Oryctolagus cuniculus: one gene and its partners. The protein of the gene in region 1 purifies or fractionates together with the protein of each later gene. This does not show direct contact. Links are inferred from orthologs where the notes say so. Each region holds a gene or a part of one and is shown in the gene's direction. Other genes may lie near its edges.

Region 1 (4,368 bases):
AGAAAGTGGCGGTAGGGCACCAGGGACTAGAAGAGAGATGTGTGGTAGTCTCTCTGGGGAGCTGTGCAGTGGAGAGACCACCCCAGCGCTTAGTCACTGAGTATTGTCATTGCTGTGACGAGGTCCCACCTGCAGAGTCAGGACAGGTTTGTACTACACCTGGGAGGTGATGTCTTCTTTAGGTTGAAAGGAATCTTTGTTTTCTTTTAAAGGCCATGGAACTAGCATCTCAAAGGACCAGAGAAGAAAGGTCTAACCAAGACCATGTGGATGAAGAGGTGGGTTTTATTGTTTCTTCTGAGCTCTTGGTACATTGGTGTTTTGAGATTTCTTTTTTTTTTTTTTTCCATATTGCTAAAAGGCATGATCTTAGTAGATAAGCAGTTTTTTAATAATGACGATGAGTATCCTTGAGACATAATCTGGTACCTAGGTCAGCTGCTCAAGTGGTGTAATTTACATTCCAGGATGTTAGTCCGCCCATCCGCCCGGCAGCCTGTTAGCCCTCGTTTGGATGGAGAACATTTATGAAGAGCCTGTAGGGCTCTGTGAGTCAAAAAGAAAAGGCCCGTTTTAGCCTGCACATGTGGATTCTTAAATGACTTCATGTGGATTCCAGAAATATTTTTATCAAGACATTTTTGGTAAAGGATCTGTAATAGGCTTTTTTTATCTTAAATAGATTTATTTATTTATTTGAAAGGCAAAATTACAAAGAGACAGAGGCAGAGAGAGAGAGAAGGAAAGAGAGAGAGAAGTCTTCCATCCAGTGGTGTACTCCCCATATGGCTGCAATGGCTGGAGCTGTGCCAACCCATAGCCAGGAGCCAAGAGCTTCTTCCACGTCTCCCATGCCTGTGCAGGAGCCCAAGTCCTTGGCCCATCTTCTACTGCTTTCCCAGGCCATAGCAGAGAGCTGGATCAGAAGTGGAGCAGCTGGGACTTGAACTGGCACCCATATGGGATGCCGGCACTACAGGCAGCAGCTTCACCTGCTACGCCACAGCACCATCTCCCATAATAGCCTGTTTTGTCTCTTTTTTGCATTCATGAGCTTGTAGTGAGGTAGAGAAATACAAGGTGGCCTCTTTGACCGTAGTAGCTGGGAGGGTGATGGTGCCGTGAGGGATCACTGCCTCAGGCAGAGCCTGCGCCTGCCAGCGAACTCCATCCCTTCCCCTCCTGCTCTGTGGAATGCAGAAGGAAGAGAGGTTTTATCTAAGGATAACCTGGGGTCTGCTGTTTCCTCTCCTAAATCCTGTCAAAAGCTAGTGTTTTGTATTGGGAGCAGGTTACGTCCGGCACTGCCCACAGCAGATGCAGCAGCGGTGCGTGCATACAGCTTGGCTGCGAACCGTGTCGGAGACGGCAATTCGTCTGGACCCCTCCGTGGCTGGTGGGGCGAGGATGCTGAGGGAGTGTGAGATGTGGGTAACAGCTCTGGGTGTGCTTTCCCTCCCTTGTAGGTGTTTAAGCGGGCATATATTCCTAGAACCCTGAATGAAGTGAAAAACTACGAGAGAGATGTGGACATAATGATGAAACTGAAGGAAGAGGACATGGCCTTGAATGCTCAGCAGGATAATGTGAGGAGCTGGGTCTGTGTGGCAGGCAGGTGCATGAGAGAAAGGCACTGCCCACACTTGGGACCTTTGGACTTCCGGTCTCTGGGATGTTGGATGTCTGTGTGCATGGTGGATGGGAGGGGAGTTTGTTGGTGTTTGTTGGGGGATGACACAACAGACTAGTTAGAGGAAAGGGGAGGTTTGTGTATATGTCGGTGTTGTAAGTGGCTGTTCTAGATCCATCAGCCATATATATTTCATTAACATACATATTTTGGGAAAAACTTAAAAAAAAAAAGATTATTTATTTGAAAGTCAGAGTTAGAGAGAGAGAGCGAGGTCTTCCATCCAATTGTTCACTCCCCAGTTGGCCACAACGGCCGGAGCTGCGCCGATATGAAGCCGGGAGCCAGGAGCTTCTTCTGGGTCTCCCACGTGGGTGCAGGGACCCAAGGACTTGGGCCATCTTCCACTGCTTTCCCAGGTCATAGCAGAGAGCTGGATCGGAAAAGGAGCAGCCGGGACTAGAACTGGCACCCATATGGGATGCTGACACTGCAGGCAGCGGCTTTACCTGCTACAACACAGCACCGGCCCCAAAATTTTTTTGAAATATAGGTCAGCTAATGAGAGAAGAATGTAATTATTGGAGAGGGTAGATAGATGGCATTTCCTTAATGGAGTTCCAAGTTAGCGTTTGCTGTCTTCCCATTGATCACAGATGTTCACCTGTGCAGATCTCCAGGCTGGAAATGACCTGTGGGCCTGGCCTCCCTGGTATACAAGAGTGACAGCCATGCCATGGGCTTTCTGTGTTGCTCAGATGAACCCAGTCACAGAAGATAAAGTAGCCCACTGTGTTCTTGATTGTGCAGTGTGTCTAGTTTGATGATGTTTCTTGTTTTCTTCCCTCTCGGTTACAAGATCCTGTACCAGACCGTCACAGGGTTGAAGAAGGACCTGTCAGGCGTGCAGGAGGTATGGAGCCCATGTGCTACTTGTTTGTTATGGGGAAACCCTTGCAAAGGATAGAGAATGGAGTGTAGTGCGTTACTAGAATTCTATTGGTGTTGTTTTATGTTGTTACTAAATAAAATACTAAGTTTATGTTGTTACTAAATAAAATGCAAAGCCTATGCACATTTTCAGAAGTGCTCTCTTTTATGTTTCTAGCCATAATACTAAGAGCGGTCGGCTTATTCCTGATTCTGTCCTGGAAATTCTCCCTTGTCGTATGTGAGGCGTTTGTCTTTCCTGTGTCCTGCCTTCATTTGTGGAGTTTAAACTAGGGACCGCCTTGTGCTTCTTGGTTGTTTTACGGCCAGTGTTCAGACGTAGTCTGGACTGTGTCTACTCCAAGGCGTTAACTCTTGAGAGCAGCCCTGTGCTGGATTCCTGCAGTGTTCTTTCTTCAACCTGGTCGTCTTTTACCTTACATTTTTTGAGGAGTGGGACTAAGGAATTCCATTTTAGGTAGTGATAAAGGCTTCGCTCTTTCTTCAATCTTAAGGGCATAAGTGAAGGATTACTGCTTTTTGAAAGTTGACTGTCGTTTCTGTAGGAAGAGTGAAGTGAGTGAAACACCAGTGTTCTGCATTTCTGCATTACAAATGACAGGTGTTGTAGGGAAGTGGTGCCTTGGATTCCAGAGCAGGAATATTCAGTGACAACTGGCTAGAAACGCTTTCTGTACAGTTGCCTCTTAAGGATCTGTTTTCTTGTAAAAAGGAATCCTTACTCTTAAAAAATGTTTCTGTTGCTTTAAAAACCTGCTTGATTACAGGAAAAATGAAATTTTCTTCTTTTTGGAAGATAATCCTTCCCTCTCGATTGGATTAGCTTATTGCTAGCAATGTGGTTTGTAGGAAAACACCCGGGAAGTCAGCCAGACCAGCCTTTGTTCTTGCCTCTCTGTATGTTCACATCCTTCCAGACCCCAGCCAGCCTCTCTGAGGTGCTGAAAGAAGCAGAACAGGTGTCGTGGGCTTGGCCGCTCAGGAAAGCTCCGTTCAGCTGTGCTCGTGAGCGGCAGTGGCATGGGTGCCCTGGTCTCCCTCTCTCCCTCCCCGGTGTCGGTTCTGTTGTTTGTCATCGTGTTGTTCTGAGTACACCTGCAAGGCTGAGATCTGAATTCTGGCCTTAGCACATTCACTTACAACGATAACAGGTCGGTTAGGGTAACATTATCTGTAATGATTTCTAGGTCCCTGCTCTGCTAGAAAACCAAGTTCAGGACAAGACTTACTCTGACTCAGAAGGAGCCGGCAGCTCTGAGTGCTCCGACACAGACTCTGAAGAGCGGGGCGACCACGCCCACTGCAAGAAACACACCACTGACCCTGATGTTGATAAAAAGGTTGGTCAGGAGCTTAAATCCCTTTGCTCCAATTCATTTCTTGGCTCCACGCCTGCTCATGGCCTGGAAAAAGCAGTGGAAGATGGCCCCAGTATTTTGGGCCCCTGCCACCTATGTGGGAGACCCAAGTGAAGCCCCTGGCTTTGGCCTGGCTCAGCCCCATTGCGGCCTTCTGGGGAGTGAACCAGCAGATGAGATTCTCCCTCTGTCTCTTCTTCCCTCTCTAATTGTTTCGAATAAAGAAATATCTTTTTTTTTTTTTTTTTAAAAAGTGGAAAGACCGTTTCACCCCAGCTTCTACCACCAACCCCTAATTTTTTTCATTCATCTTATATGCTACTTTCACTTTCAGCTCCTTACATACAATGTTATTTAGTTGTAATTGTACTGTGAATACACTGAATGATGAAAATCTGTGTTTTGTTTGTTTGTTTTTTACAGGAAAGA
Region 2 (5,230 bases), on another chromosome or scaffold:
AGCCAGGAGCTTTATCCATGGTTGGCAGGGGTCCAGGGACTTGGGCCATCTTGCACTGCTTTCCCAAATGCATTAGCAGGGAGCTGGATTGGAAGTGGAGCAGCCAGGACTAGAACTGGAACCCATATGGGATGCCAGCACTGCAAATGGCAGCTTAACCCCCTATGTTCAACGCTGGCCCCTCCTGGGTCACGTTTATTTCAGTAGTTCTCCAGTCCTACTTATCTTGAACTTCTCTCATAAGTTACACATGTTAGGATCATGCTTTTGTAGCCTTAGCTCTTCACATTGTGATTCTCCAAGTTCTGCATTTATTTTTCTCTTTGGTCTGCTTTCATTAAGTATCTCTTAAAAAATGACCATCAGAGGCCAGCGCTGTGGCATAGTGGGTAAGGCCACTGCCTGCGATGCCAGAATCCCATATGGGCCCCGGTTTGTGTCCCAGTTGCTCTGCTTCTGATCCAGCTCTCTGATAATGTGCCTGGGAGGGCAGCAGAGGGTGGCACAAGTGCTTGGGCCCCTGTACCTACATGGGAGACTCGGAGGAAGCTCCTGGCTCCTGGCTTTGGATCAGCCCAACCCTGGCCATTTCAGACATTTAGGGGAGTCAACCATTGGATAGAAGACCTCTCTGTCTCTCCCTCTCTCTATAACTCTGCCTCTCAAGTGAATAAATAAGTCTTTAAATAAATAAAAAGTTAAAAAAAAAAAAAGGACTTAGTGATATAACCCTTTAGTTGTTTCGTATGAGTAAAATCGCTGCATTAAGGTAAGAAACATTTTTAAAGCTCTTAACGTATTTTGTGACATTGCTTTCCAAAAAGTTTACATCAATTTACACTTTCAGTAGTGGTGTATATAAAGGTACTACCTTGAGGCAAGTGATGTGGCACAGTGGATTAAGCTGCTGCCTGCAGTGCTGGCTTCCAACATGGGTGCTGGTTCGAGTCCTGGCTGCAGAGTCCCAGCTGCCCACTTCTTATCCAGTTCTCTGCTAATGCGCCTGGGAAAGCAGTGGAAGATGGCCCAAGTCCCTGGGCCCCTGCCACCAATGTGGGTGACCTGGAAGAAGCTCCTGGCTCCTGGCTCCTGGCTTTGGCCTGGCCCAGCCATAATTGTTGAGACTATTTGGGGATTGAACCAGCAGATGGAAGATTTCTCTCTGTGTCTCCTTCTCTGTAACTTTGGCTTTCAAATAAATAAATAAATCTCTTAAAAAAAATATGTACCACCTTTCTACTTATCTTCATCAGCATGGACAATTAACTTTTTTTTTTTTAAGATTTATTTATTTATTTGAAAGGCAGAGTTACAGAGAGGCAGCAGGGGGAGGGGGCCTTCCATCACTGGTTCACTCCCCAGGTGGCTGCAACGGCTGGAGCTGTGCCAATCCGAAGCCAGGAGCTTCTTCCGGGTCTCCCATGTGGATATAGGGGCCTAAGGACCTGGGCCATCCTCCACTGCCTCCCCAGGTGATAGCAGAGAGCTGGATGGGAAGTGGAGCAGCTAGGACTCTAACCACTGCCCATGTGGGATTCTGGCACTACAGGCGGTGGCCTTACCCACTATGTCACATGGCTAGCCCAATAATTGACATTTTTGTCAATGGTAACTTTAATATAGTAAATTTTAATTTTTTATGTAAATTTATAATTTATAGTAAATTTTTAATTTTTTTTAATTTTTTTTAAATTTTTTTAAATTTTTTTGACAGGCAGAGTGGACAGTGAGAGAGAGAGACAGAGAGAAAGGTCTTCCTTTGCCGTTGGTTCACCCTCCAATGGCCGGCGCGGCCGGCGCGCTGCGGCCGGCGCACCGCGCTGATCCGATGGCAGGAGCCAGGAGCCAGGTGCTTTTCCTGGTCTCCCATGGGGTGCAGGGCCCAAGCACCTGGGCCATCCTCCACTGCACTCCCTGGCCACAGCAGAGAGCTGGCCTGGAAGAGGGGCAACCGGGACAGAATCCGGCGCCCCGGCCGGGACTAGAACCCAGTGTGCCGGCACTGCAAGGCGGAGGATTAGCCTAGTGAGCCGCGGCGCCGGCCTTAATTTTTTATTATTATCAATTTTGAGCATCTATTTAGATGTTTTGATAACATACCTTTTATTATGAAATAATCGAAGCATATTGAAAAGCACAGAGAATAGTAAAACAGGTATTCAATATCTAGTGCAAATTGTAACTTTTTTCATAATTAGTGTAGGCTTTTTTAAGAAAACATCAATCTGCTGAAACTCCCACCCCTTTTTAAAATATTTATTTATTTATTTATTTGAAAGAGAGGGGGAGAGAGAGAGATCTTCCATCTGCTAGTTCACTCTTCAAGTGGCTGCAAAGGCTAGGCTGGGCTAGGCAGAAGCTAGGAGGCAGAAGCTTCATCCAAGTCTCCCACATGGGTATAGTGGTGCAAACACTTGGGAGATGGATCAGCAGTGGAGCAGCTGGGACATGAACCGGTACCCGTATGGGATGCTGGCATCACTGGAGGCAGCTTAACCTGCTCTACCACAACACTGACCCTTAAAACCCTTTTTGTTTGGCTACGCATTTCCTTCTCTACTCTGACTGCAGGAGATGATGTGTGTGCATATATGCTCATAAACAACATGTAATGGTTTTGTTTTGTATTTAAAATGTTAATGTAAATAAATAGTATATACATTCTGCAACTAGCTTTTTTTAAAGAGTATTTCATTAGTTCATACAGTACATCAGTATTGTGCAGAAATTCCTTGGGTACAATATGTGGATGTGGAATTGCTAGGTAGTAGGGAATGAGTATCTCTAAGGTGATTATAGCAGCTTTCACTACTACCAGCATAATGCTAGTTTTCTTTAACAAAAATCTGTATTCTTTCTTATCTACAGACCTGGTTGACTTACATGTTGGGTCAGTCGACTTCTATGGACTTTAGTTTTCTCATCTGTAAATTGTTGGTGATGAACCACATTAGTGATTTACAGAGTGTTGCTGAACCTTTTGTTTCAAGGTGAAAGGGAAAAGAAGCAGATGACTGGAACTATACTTATTAGAAACCTGAGTATTTGGGTCTTTTCATCCTCATTCTGGCCTCACAGGGGCTCTGGAATCCTTAGGACTCAGTGAAGCACTGTGCAGCTAGACCAGAGACTATTCAGAGCCTTTTTAAGCTCTAAAATAACCACTATTGGGGGGCCAGCGCTGTGGCGCAGTGGGTTAAAGCCCCAGCCTGCAGTGCTGGCATCCCATATGTGTGCTGGTTCTAGTCCCAGCTGCTCCTCTTCCGATCCAGCTCTCTGCTAATGGCCTGGGAAAGCAGTGGAAGATGGCCCAAGTCTTTGGGCCCCTGCACCCACGTGGGAGACCTGGAAGAAGCTCCTGGCTCCTGGCTTCAGATCGGCGCAGCTCCGGCTGTTGCGGTCAGTTGGGGAGTGAACCAGCGGATAGAAGACCTCTCTCTCTCTGACTTTACCTCTCTCTGTAACTTTTTCAAATAAATAAAATAATTTAAAAAATAACCACGATTGGAAATAAAAATTGAAGTGCAACATTCAGATTTATCAGTAAGCATCCTCTAGGAAATTCTCTTAGCTTTTTTTTTTTTAAGTCAAACACATGGCATATTAAAAAGTTATTTATTCCTTTTCCAGAAGAATCAAAAGAACTTGTTGCTGATGAAGAGGAAGACAGTGATGATGATGTTGAACCTATTTCTGAATTTAGATTTGTACCTGGTGATAAATCAGCATGTGAGTGTTCCGTGTATTGATTCTTTTCCCTTTTTTCACAAGCGTCCTCCCCCAGCCCCGTTCATGGTCTCTCTCTTGTTGTCTTACATACACACCTCACTTTTATCAACATTTCGTCAGTTGTATTGCCCTTTCTTTTTTGTGTCTGTAATACTGAGAACAGACACTTATAATAACGATTGTGAATGTAGCAAGCATATTGTATGTAACATGTTACCTAGTATGTTTTGCTAATGGAGGGTCAGTTTTATTCATTCATTTTATTGATTGATGCTCTTGACTTCGAATCTCATCTAAAGGATGAATGGCAAAGGAGTCACAGCAATTGCAAGAAGATGATGCCAAGACAACTAGAAAGAGCCCTGTCGGTTGAGAGAGGCATTCCCCTGATACCAACGATCTGACAAGGACTTGGCCCCTTTTCTCAGAAAATCCAACTAGCCATGAAGAGATCTCAGTAATATCTCAGAATGAACATTTATTTTGTGACTTGCCCATTGCCTCAGGCACTTCCAGAATTGGTCCTACTTGGAATCTGGCAGGTTTTGCAGACATTATCCTAGTATACCTCTTGTGTACCTGTTAAATTTCTTAGCACTGGTGGTTTTTATTAAAATTGTATGGTGAAAAGTCTTAGTTAAAACTTCATTTTCTTGTTTAGTGGAGGCAATGTTCACTGCAATGTGTGAATGTCAGGCCTTGCATCCAGACCCTGAGGATGAAGATTCAGATGATTATGATGGAGAAGAATATGATGTGGAAGCACATGGTTAGTGAATAGATTTTTTAAATGTTTGTCTGCTTTAATGTTTCATTTTTGAGCATTTATGTGTACTGTAGACAGAGGATTGTAGGTCTTTATAGTTAACATGTTCCTTCAAACAGGTCACTGCCAAAGTCATTTCTTTTTTCCTAGAACCATACTTCATTTAAGAATCTCTTCCATTGCTTTTCTAGACTAGAATGTAGTCCTCAGCTTGATGGCGTCTTGCAGCTCTTGAGGCACCTGCTGTTCTCTTTTCTCCACTTCTGTTATGCCCTTTCCTCCTTGTGCATTTCCTTCCTAGGCTGAGACAAACTCATCTCTAGGATTCTCTATCATATACTTAAATATTTACTCTTCTTTCGTTCGTTCATTCTTTCTTTCTTTTCTTTTTTTTTTTTTTTCTTTTTTTTTTTTTTGACAGGCAGAGTTAGCCAGTGAGAGAGAGAGAGAGAGAGACAGAGAGAAAGGTCTTCCTTCTGTTGGTTCACCCCCCTCCAAATGGCTGCTACGGTTGGCGCAGCGCGCTGTGCCGATCTGAAGCCAGGAGCCAGGTGCTTCCTCCTGGTCTCCCGTGCGGGTGCAGGGCCCAAGCCCTTGGGCCATCCTCCACTGCCTTCCCAGGCCACAGCAGAGAGCTAGACTGGAAGAGGAGCAACCGGGATAGAACCGGCGCCCCAACCGGGACTAGAATCCGGAGTGCCGGTACCGCAGGTGGAGGATTAGCCTAGTGAGCCT
Region 3 (4,681 bases), on another chromosome or scaffold:
TGGTTTATTCCCCCAATGCCTGTAATGGCCAGGGCTGGGCTAGGAGCCAGGAACACCACCCTGGTCTCCCACAAGGATGGCAGGGGCCCGAGAACTTGGGCCATCGTCTGCTGCTTTTCTGGCCACATTAGCAGGGAGCTGGATCAAAAGTAGAGCGGCAGAGACTCAGCCAGCACTCACAGATGCCAGTGTCACAGTTGGCGGTTTAACCTGCTACGCCACAACACCGGCCTCTCATTTTCCCTGTTTCTGTTGATGCTCTTACCTCCTTCTCAGTCACAGAGAGTTCAGACTCAGTCCTCTTCCACTTCTGCTGTCCCTCTGCTGTTGGTCCCCAGGGTCTTGTGAGTCTTCTTCCATTTGGTCCATCCCCTCACTGTGCATTTCTCCTGCGCCCAGTCGTTTTCAGGCCCTTCCGCACACAGACGGAAGCCCTGTCTCACACCTGGAACCTTCGGCTCTTTTGGTCGTTTATTGGTTCCTGTCTGTAGATCAGAATACTGTTTTTATGTCATGGCTTGCAAGCCCTTTTTACTGTCATTCTCCTTGCAAGCATGTAGTCCTGGCCTAAGCCAGTCACAGTAGATGCTTGACATTCTTGAGGGAAAGCCCTGAGAATTGTGAATCTTGAACTTTTGAATATTCCCTTCCATAAAATGTTTATTTTCCTGGTCAGAACCATTTTTTTTTTTCCCCTATGTTTTTCCTTTTTGCTTTCATGAGCAACACGAGCCGTTGGGAGCCATTCCTCATGAAGATAATGTCTAGAACATAAAGTGCGGCTCCGGGCTGTAGATGCTGGGTGATCCCTGTGGGGGTCTTCCAGTGGCTGGGTCCCTTTCCCTCACATGATCCACCTATAGGCCAGAGCAAAAATCACCGACTCGCACATCTCCCGGGCCTCCACATAAAGGGCAAATAGTGTTGAAACGCCAGTGCCCCCAGTCTACTACGCTTGCCTTTGATTTCTTAGACATGTGATGTGCTTTCCTGGATGATGCTAGCTGTTTTTCAGCATTTCCTTCATTCGTGTCTCAGTCCTGACACGGATGTCCAAAGCCTTTGAGAGCAGAGGAACCACGTTTCCTTTCTTCATCTTTTGTATATCTCCACGGTGCTTATCTCAGAGCTTCGCTTTTTTCCAGGGAGCAATAAAGTCCTTTTCTAGCTTATCATCCATTCATTCCAGGGCTGGGAGAGAACTGTGGAAGGCAGTTTACTTCCACCCTTCTGTGTCAGAGCGGAGCTACTCAAACTGTCGTGGCAAGTCTAACTGAAGGACTCTAGAGAAGTGGTTTCCACAGCCCCTGATTAACACTTAGCAGTGATCATCAAAAATGTTTACCCGTAGAATGTTTTGAAAACTACTCCCTCATATGTTTTTAATGCTAGCTAAAAGATTTTAAGCTGCGAAAGAGATAGTTTCTAACATCATTTATCAAATACTTATATACTTTTCAAGTATTTATTTGTTAGCATTTTTGATTTGCAGATTAAGCCTATTTGATTTGTACAAAATGTCTTCTCAAATAGCCTTTCAGGTGAAAATCCAGTATGCATTGTTAAGCCAGTTTCATAAATTAGACTTAACTTTTTATCAGAAAAAGTTGAATTCATTGCTAAATTCTGGCAAACTTGTAGGAAGTGTCTTCCTACAACACCTATCAGATCTTTCAGTTGTTTTTGTTAGGTGCAGGTAAGGCGCAGAGCCATAATGGAGTTCTTGATGTGACTGAAACAAGCTAAGTCCCCTTCACTAAATTTTGCCAGTGTTCCTGCTCTGTAGCTCCCTGGCTCTTAGGAAAAAGCCCCTTTTGTTCTTTAGTTTGGAATCTTTGAATTTTACACCCCATGAAAAGGTTTGGGATGAGTAAGAGCCATGTGTTCCTTCTGTAAGGTAGGAGACACATGATTGAAAGTAGAGGCAGTTGAATTTTAGGCAAGAGAACTTTGGAGAAATTGATTTTCCTAAGTATCCGCACCCCGAACTTCCTCAAAAATTGTGTGTTTTACTTGGAGATACAGGAGCTCCAGTTATGAAGACTGCTATTCCAAACTTGGCTCTTGTATCCAGGATACCTTACCTGAGTTCACTGTGCTGACTAAGCCCCTCATTTCTCCTTCATCATCTTTGCAAATTTTTTGCCCAGACATTTTTAGGTTTTATAACACTTTAGCCTTTTTTATTTAAAAAAAAGAGATTTGTTTATTTATTTGAAAGTCAGAGTTATGCAGAGAGAGAGACAGAGAGGTCTTCCATCTGTTGGTTCACTCCCCAAATGGCTGCAATGGCCGGAGCTGCACCGACCCTAAGCCAGGAGCCAGGAGCCTCTTCTGGGTCTCCTATGCAGATGCAGGGGCCCAATGACTTGGGCTGTCTTCTGCTTTCCCAGGCCACAGCAGAGAGCCAGGTCAGAAGTGGAATAGCCAGGACACGAACCGGCACCCATATGGGATGCCAGCGCTTCAGGCCAGGGCCTTAACCCGCTGTGCCACACGGCCGGCTCTGGCACTTTAACCTTTCTTCTTAGGTTTTGTCTAGTCCTTTTCTCTCACAGAATTTGCTAAATGATAACAGGCCTGTGTCTTCAGATTCCCTCTCACCCCTTGATTGTATCTGGCTTGCCTTGTAGAGCCCTCAGTTGCCTCTGTCATGTTTCATTTTCTCTCTCCTTCACAGCTCACGCTGGGCAGGTCACCTGTGTTGCTGCCTCTCCCCATAAGGACTCCGTGTTTCTTTCGTGCAGTGAGGTGAGATACTGCCTCTGCTCTCCTAACCACACACCAGCCCTCTGTAGGCCAGAGTCTCTGGTGTGGAGAACTGGCCAGCAGTTGGTCCTTTGGCTTGTGAGACCATTTGAATGCTCCTCTTTCTTTTAGGACAATAAAATTTTACTGTGGGATACCCGCTGTCCCAAGCCGGCATCACAGATGGGTGAGTCTGAGAGCCTTGGTGGGGAGGCCCTAGGAGCTTACCTGGAAGAGACGTTCTCTGACTAGAGTAAAAGGAATACTGCTGTATGTGACATAAGTGACATAATTTTTTTTCAGCTGGGGCTCTGCTAACCCCACTCTATGCAATGAGTACAAAGAAGGAGGGAAAGGGGCTGGTTCCTGGGGGGTGATTTGCTTGGTCAGATGAGTGGGCAGAGGGCCGGAATTGGTATCTTCATGCTTTTTGCTTGAAACTTGGCTTATGTCTGGAAAGCACAGGAGGCTGATGGATTAAGGTAGTTTATGAGGTGCAGGACTGAGGACCTGCTGCCTTAGCAGGGTGTGGGAAACGAAGTAAAGGTGCTCCTTGGAGTTCGAGTGACTTCTGTTGAGAAAGTGCTTCCTGTGGGTTCTGAGTTTTGTTCTGGATCCTTCTTTCCTTTGCAGGCTGCAATGCCTCTGGCTACCTTGCTACTTCACTGGCTTGGCATCCTCAGCAAAGTGAAGTCTTTGTCTTTGGTAAGGCAGCGTGTCAGACTGCGTGTTGGCTCTGGGCACGGGCGGGTGGGAGAGGAAGCTCACTGGGTGCTGCACCGGCTCTTGCTGCTCCATCGCACAGCAACTTGAGCACTTGATGGATGGCAGTAATGGAGGGGTCAGGAAGGGGCATGACTCAAAAGTACTTGCGATTTAGCTTTGGCGAGCATAATGGGTTTTTTTTCCGCAGTGAATTGATTCCTGTTTGTTCTGGCTCCCATATTCTGGGCATGCCTAGTGGTTAGTGAGCCACAAAGCAAGTGCTTTGTTGTGTTGGGAATTCTCTCCCATTGTGTGTTGAGTGGTACTGTTGTCTTGGTAATAAGGCCAAGCGTATGATGATGTAGCTTATGGTTAAAATGACAGCTGCTTCATTCATTCACGCAGTTTTCACAACCACCTCATAGTTGTTATTCCTACTTTGCAAAAGAAACTGATGCTCAGAGCAGTCGACTTGTCTGGGCTTGAGAAACTGGGATTCAGATCTGGATCTGGCTGACCCCACAGCCCGTGTGCTTAACCTCGGCGCCGTGTTCCCTTTGTTCTGCAGGTGATGAGAATGGGACTGTCTCTCTTGTGGACACCAAGAGTGCGGGCTGTGCGCTCAGTTCAGCTGTGCACTCGCAGTGTGTCACTGGGCTGGTGTTCTCGCCCCACAGGTACTGTCCTTTGTCATCGGGGACCTGAGGGGCCTGAATGGGAACGGGTGTGGGTGAAGCACTGCTGACTGGGCGGCTCCTTGGAGCGCACGGTGCTCTGGCCCCGCTCTCAGAGCCTCAGAGATCTCTCAAGCCCCGTGGACCTTTCTTGGGTTCCATAGGCTCTGTGAAAATGGCTGAAAAGGGGCCTCATTTTTGCTTAGCAGCCAAAGTGACTAATCCGTGGGCTCCTGGGCTGGGTGTGGGGAGAGCCTCTGTTTCTGGGTTGCTGCCGAGGCCACAGAGAGGGGCCAGATGCGATGGTTTGTGGCCAGGATAATGGCCAACCTGACTTTGTTCCATGTTCCCCTTCTTTCCCTGGAACTTGTAACGGGGACTTGCAGGGTTGCGACCTCAGCCGCAGCTAGTGGACTGGCCCAGGGAGGGCGGTGGTGGGGATCCTCGGGCTCTCCTTTCCCAACCCTCTGCTTGCTCTCCCAGTGCACCCTTCCTGGCCTCTCTCAGCGAAGACTGCTCGCTTGCTGTGCTGGACTCCAGCCTTTCCGAGGTGT
Region 4 (5,688 bases), on another chromosome or scaffold:
GAGAGGTAGAGGCAGAGAGAGAAAGAGAGGTCTTCCATCTGCTGGTTCACTCCCCAAATGGCCATGATGGCTGTAGCTGAACTAGACCAAAGCCAGGAGCTAAGAGCTTCTTCTGGGTCTTCCACACATGTGTAGGACTTGGGCCATCTGCTTTCCAAGGCCACAGTGGAAAGCTGGATCGAAGTGGAGCAGCTTGGACCTGAACTGGCACCCATATGGGATGCTGGCACTGCAGGTGGTGGCTTTACCTGCTAGCCACAGTGCTGGCCCTTATCACTATCTTTCAAAGAAATAAATCTAAAAAGATTAATCGGGCCAACACTGTGGCATAGGGGATAAAGCTACTGCCTGCCTGTTAGAGTCTCAGCTACTCCGTTTCCGATCCAGCTTCCTGCTAATGGGCCTGGGAAAGCAGCCAAGGATGGCCCAAATACTTAGGCCCCTGCACCCACATGGGAGACCCAGAAGAAGCTCCTGGCATCGGATCTTTCCAGCTCCTGTGGTTATGGCCATCTGGGAAGTGAACCAGTGCATGGAAGATCTCTCTCTTTGCCTCCCTCTCTCGGTGACTTGGACTTTCAAAAAAAAAAAAAAACCATCAAAAAGATTAGTCACATTTCCTCACATTTCCTTTCCTGTGTGGGGTTGGGGAGGGGGGACGGGGACACCCAAACATTGAATATTATGTCACTGTTGGCTTTCTTCCCCCAAATGCCGCAAAGTGTGTGTGTGCTTTTAAGATTTATTTATTTGAAAGAGTTAAACAGAGAGGAGAGGCAGAGAGAGAGAGAGAGAGGTCTTCCATCTGCTGGTTCACTCCCCAAATGGCCGCCAACGGCCAGAGCTGTGCTGATCAAGAGCCAGGAGCTTCTTCCTAGTCTCCCACGTGGGTGCAGGGGCCCAAGGACTTGGGCCATCTTCTGTTTCACAGGCCATAGCAGAGAGCTGGACAGGAAGTGGAGCAGCCGGGTCTCGAACTGGCACCCATCTGGGATGCCTGAGCTTCAGGCCAGGGTGTTAACCCACTGTGCTACAACGCAGGCCCCACAAAGTGGTTTACAGACAACAAAATTCCTCTAGGGAGGCGCTCTAATGTCCCAAGAGGTCATAAGGTTTCCTGGTGAGCAAGGAGTCCCAGCTTCTGGCTTTTTGCTCCTTAAAGGTTAACATGTGAGTGGCCAGGGCTCCCTGGTTTAATCCTCCGTTTGCAGCGCCGGCATCACATGTGGCCGCCGGGTTCTAGTCCTGGTGGCTCCTCTTCCAGTCCAGCTCTCTGCTTTGGCCCGGGAAGGCAGTGGAGGATAGCCCAAGTGCTTGGACCCTGCACCCACGTGGGAGACCAGGAAGAAACACCTAGCTCCTGACTTCAGATCGGAGCAGCTCCGGCCGTAGCGGCCATTTTGGGAGTGAACCAAGGGAAAGAAGACCTTTCTATCTATCTGTCAAAAAAAAAAAGAAAAAAAGAAAAAGTTAACGTGATTATCACGCGTGGTCGGTGGCCAGCAGGGAAGGCAATGAAGGCCCTTGCTGCATGGGAGGCACCCCTCTTAGTCCTTAGAGGCAAAATGGGGAATAACTGGTGGCAGACCCAAATCTCAGCGTGGGAAGGTCGGAGCCCTGGTCGGATTCCACCACTAGTGCAGAATATTTAACCGTGTCCACACATTGCAGCTGTTTGAACAGCTGCCCTGGTTCCCAATAGACTGTTGTAACTCGAGGTGGGGCGTCGCTGGCTGCTAGGTTGTCTCGTTCGTTGAGGTTGTTAGGGTCTAATTCCAGTGGACCCAGAAAGAGGGTGAAACGTGGCTGGAGCCTCAAACTGCATTCTGAGTTTTGACAGCTCGGCTTCAGACGGTGTCAGGGCCGCTCCGGTATTCGTGTTCTAATGGGGAATGGAGGTTTTGCAGCTGAACACATCGGGTGTGGCAGAGTGGAGCTGGGATTCGGCCCTGCCGGCCCAGCCCGCGTTCCAGGCCGGGCGTTTGCGCGTGGGAGCCACCAGAACCAGTACTCCAGACTGGCTCCGTTTCTCACCGGGTAGGCAGGGGGCTCTGCGGTGGCGACGCGCCCCGCCCCCGGCGTCCTCGTGACCCGGTGTCCCGCCCCCGCGGCCGGGAGCACCCCGGCTGATTGGCCCCTGCGCGGCGTATCCTCAGGCTGGCAGCCAGGCTGGCGCATCACGTGGCCGAGCCGCGTCCAGGGCGCCCAGCCGTGGGCAGCTCGGCATGGACCCGCAGGCCGCCGGGGCCCGGGCACGGGGCGTCACGGAACCGCCTCGGGGCCCGCCGCTACCGAGCACGCGGGAGGCGCCCCGCAGCCTGGAGGTGAGCGCCGCGCGCGGGCCGAGCGCCGCCACCACCTGCAGCCAGTGCGGGAAGTTGGGGGCTCGCGGGGCGGTGCCCGGTGCGGGGCGCGGACAGCGCCACGGGCCGCTCCACAAGCCCTGAGCGCCGTTTGGGCTCGCGCTGGAGCTGGAAACGGCTGGCCGAGGAGCAGCGGGGCTTCGAGGCTGCCGGGCCGGGAGCTCCGAGGGGCGTGGGTGGGCGCGCCGGTCCCACTGAGGCTATTGGCCCACAGGGCGCCTCTGCGTACTTACTAAATGGGAGGTGATGTTGGGGACGGAGAGCTGGGGCCCGCTACTAGGGGCCTGGGCCCCGGCCAGGTGAGGGCTGCAAGGGGAGGGCTTCGCCTGGAGGAGCCCTGTTCACTGACTGAGGGTGGGGGGACGCTCACTATCCCCCGAGCGCTGAGGGGTGGGTGGGTGTCCCATGCACTCTCCGTTTACGGAGACCCGAAGGCCAGGTTTGACGCAGGGTTTGCAGAAACTTGCTTTCAGGTGCGCTCCAGGCAGCCCCCGTGTTTCCGAGACCGCTGTCGCAGTGCTCGCCTGTCCTTGTCTACAGTGTCTGCCTAGACGACAGCTCCTCCGTTTAGGGCTGGGAGCCCAGCGCCTAGCACGCGGGACAGGCGTAGTAATTGGGTGGACACAGCAGAGATGGGCCTTAACCAGAGACGTGCACGCGGCGGCAACGCTTGTAGTCGGGGAGAGCAGGGAGGGCTGCGCGCTGGCTCTCGCAGGTGGGAGTCCGGTGGTGCCTGCGGAGGCTGGCCAGGAAGAAGCGCAGGGCAAGTGGCTCAGAGCTGGGGCGGCGGCGTGGAGAAGCATGCTGAACAGGTCGTGGGGGGCGGGTGCCTTTGTGTTTGCTGGTGGAGGGCTGTTGAAGCTGTTGACCAGAGTGGTGATTAACCCTGTGGGTGGGGGAATTCGGAGGTCAAGGCCTCCTTAGCTTAGCCTCATCCCGCTGGTGGGCAGCCCTGAGCAATTGCTGCTGACCACTGGAAGTGGAATCACTTAAGGGAGGCATGGCTAGGCGAGGAGTGATGATTGGATTGAAACAGGTGCAGTTTAGATGTAGGATCAGAGGAGGTGAGTCTAAATTCTAGACGCCTCGCATTCCTGCCCGTGCGCTGGGAGAGCTCTTAGACGTTAGGTAGTAGGAACCACTCTCCCCTGTTTCCAGGGAAGAAAGCCCAGGGGCTGAAGCCAGGTGGCCCAGACAGTACCCTGAGTGGCAGAGCTGGGGCTGAAGGTGGGGCTTCCTGCGAGCGCTTCTGGGGCAATTAGAGCGTTTGGGAGACTTGTGGGTGCTGGAGGCAGAGAAGCTTCCGGCCGGCTGCAGGGGAGGGTGATTTCCAGCTGGTTTAGAGCTGTTTATTTCAGCCAGCACCACTCAGGACAGAGAGTTCCACTCCCATCCTGTGCCAGTGAGAAGAGGCAAAGAGTTGTGAACTAAATACTAAGTAACCAGAAAGGTCAAAAAGATGTCTGGAGGAAGCAGTGGGCAGGAAACAGCCAGGACAGCTCTGCAGAGCTGAAATCCAACCTGCTGCAGCTGGTGCTGAGGTCTCTGAGCTGGGAGAGTAGGGACCCTGGGCTCCAGACCTCTGACAAGAGGGCCCAGTGATGACACGGCCACCTCAGGTGTCCACACAGCTGTAGCCAGGGGTGCAGCCGTGTTGTTGGGATGGTGCCTGGAGAATTAGAAAGGCCAGCTGGATCTAACAGGGGGAGACAGAAATGTGGATCCCCATCAAGAGTGTGGGACTGGGACTCGACCTGAGAGGCAATGGCTTAGTACCAGGATCCGGGGCACCTGAGTTCCTGGTAATCGGTTGTTCTTCCTGCAGGCCACCTTCGCCACAGCAGACCCCAGTGGTCCAGAGACAGAGGCTGAGACGGCCACGGATCGACTAGGCAAGTAGATGTCGGAGCGGCCGTGATGGTCTCTACGTCTTGTTTCCCTGTTCCTTCTAACCAGCCCTCTGCTGCCGAGGTGCCTCCCCTGTCGCGTTTCAGCAATGCTTTCCGTTGAAAGCCCTGCCCAGGCTACCGTAAGGGAAATCCTGGACTTGGCTTACATCCCAACTCATCTCTTCAACTGAGAGCCAGCTCGCAGCCGTGACACGTGGGGGCTTGGGAGGCAGGCAGAATTGTATTTTCAACTCTGAGAGCCCTGGAATGGAGTATCATGGACTTGACAGTGAGACGAATAAGACCTACTCCCTAGGGTTGTTCTCAGGATTGGGGGACAGAGCGAGGAATCGTGTGGGTCTGTTACAGCAGCCGCTAGCCACAGGTGCAGTTGAAGTTAGTTCTAAGGCAGTACCACAGGAAACTCAGCTTCTCAGGCCACATTCCACGTGCTCAGTAGCCACGTGTGGGTAGTGCTGCCTTGTTGGACAGCAGTGATGCTAGAACATTTCCGTCTCGGCAGGAAGTTCGAATGGGAAGTGTTGGTCTAGATCACGCAGTCGCAGGTGTAACAGTCCCAGTAATGGAAACCTTTGAGCGCTCCTGTCGACAGGTGTAGTCTGTTTCTATTGTTTCCTTTCCCCCCCCCCACATCTCACAACAAACCTGTCTCCATTTTACAAATGAGGAAACAGATACAGCGTAGTTAATACAAAAAAAAAGTTTTTTTAAAATTTTATGTACTTGAAAAGTAGAATGAGGGGGTGGGGAAAGAGGGAGATATCTTCCTCTGGTTTACTCCCCAAATGGCCTCATTGTCTGGGGCTGGCCCAGGCTGAAGCCAGGAGCCTGTAACTCCACTGGGGTCTCCCCCAGGGGTGGCAGGGGCTCAAGCACTAGGGTCATCTTCCTCTGTCTTCCCAGGGACATCAGCAGGGAGCTGGATAAGATGTGGAGCAGCAGGGACTTGAAACAGCACCCATATGGGATGCTGGTATTACAGGTGGCAGCTTAACCTGTGCCACAGGGCTGGCCCCCATACAAAAATTTTTTTAAAACTTTTTCTTCTGTTTATTTGAAAGCAGTGGGGGAAGGGGGAAGCAGGGCAGAGAGAGATCTTTCATGTTCTAATTCACTTGAAAAGCCTCCCAGGGCTGAGCCAGGCCAAAGCCAGCAGCTGAAAACTCAGTTTGGGGATCTTACGGGTGGCAGGGACCCAAGTACTTGACCCAGGTACACTTCCCAGGGCGTGTATTTGCAGGAAGCTGGATTAGAAGTAGAGGAACCGAGACTCAAACCTGGCACTGCTATATGGGATGTGGACATCTCAGCTTCATCTTAAGTGCTGTGCCAAATGCCTGTCCCTTCCCCGAATTAAAAAAAAAATTAGGAGGGCTGGTGCCGTGGCAGAGCGGGAAAAGCTGCCGCCTGCAGTG

What was found.
Region 2: the proteins of RIOK1 (region 1) and CLNS1A purify together in Homo sapiens (affinity purification with mass spectrometry; 3 studies listed by BioGRID and IntAct, with this or other methods). This does not show direct contact. The link is inferred for Oryctolagus cuniculus from reciprocal best matches to the Homo sapiens genes RIOK1 and CLNS1A.
Region 3: the proteins of RIOK1 (region 1) and WDR77 purify together in Homo sapiens (affinity purification with mass spectrometry; 5 studies listed by BioGRID and IntAct, with this or other methods). This does not show direct contact. The link is inferred for Oryctolagus cuniculus from reciprocal best matches to the Homo sapiens genes RIOK1 and WDR77.
Region 4: the proteins of RIOK1 (region 1) and COPRS purify together in Homo sapiens (affinity purification with mass spectrometry; 3 studies listed by BioGRID and IntAct, with this or other methods). This does not show direct contact. The link is inferred for Oryctolagus cuniculus from reciprocal best matches to the Homo sapiens genes RIOK1 and COPRS.

The regions. Positions count from the first base shown.
Region 1 is NC_091436.1:163,159,505-163,163,872, reverse strand, and holds part of RIOK1 (serine/threonine-protein kinase RIO1), read left to right. Parts: intron 1-212; coding exon 213-278; intron 279-1,466; coding exon 1,467-1,586; intron 1,587-2,489; coding exon 2,490-2,543; intron 2,544-3,768; coding exon 3,769-3,921; intron 3,922-4,362; coding exon 4,363-4,368. UniProt on the Homo sapiens protein: Involved in the final steps of cytoplasmic maturation of the 40S ribosomal subunit. Involved in processing of 18S-E pre-rRNA to the mature 18S rRNA. Required for the recycling of NOB1 and PNO1 from the late 40S precursor.
Region 2 is NC_091432.1:68,739,862-68,745,091, reverse strand, and holds part of CLNS1A (methylosome subunit pICln), read left to right. Parts: intron 1-3,630; coding exon 3,631-3,729; intron 3,730-4,390; coding exon 4,391-4,498; intron 4,499-5,230. UniProt on the Homo sapiens protein: Involved in both the assembly of spliceosomal snRNPs and the methylation of Sm proteins.
Region 3 is NC_091438.1:58,932,787-58,937,467, forward strand, and holds part of WDR77 (methylosome protein WDR77), read left to right. Parts: intron 1-2,680; coding exon 2,681-2,751; intron 2,752-2,880; coding exon 2,881-2,935; intron 2,936-3,381; coding exon 3,382-3,453; intron 3,454-4,021; coding exon 4,022-4,130; intron 4,131-4,610; coding exon 4,611-4,679; intron 4,680-4,681. UniProt on the Homo sapiens protein: Non-catalytic component of the methylosome complex, composed of PRMT5, WDR77 and CLNS1A, which modifies specific arginines to dimethylarginines in several spliceosomal Sm proteins and histones.
Region 4 is NC_091448.1:42,254,937-42,260,624, forward strand, and holds the start of COPRS (coordinator of PRMT5 and differentiation stimulator), read left to right. Parts: upstream 1-2,133; 5' UTR 2,134-2,225; coding exon 2,226-2,324; intron 2,325-2,414; exon of another isoform or gene 2,415-2,599; coding exon of another isoform or gene 2,600-2,662; intron 2,663-4,188; coding exon 4,189-4,255; intron 4,256-5,688. UniProt on the Homo sapiens protein: Histone-binding protein required for histone H4 methyltransferase activity of PRMT5.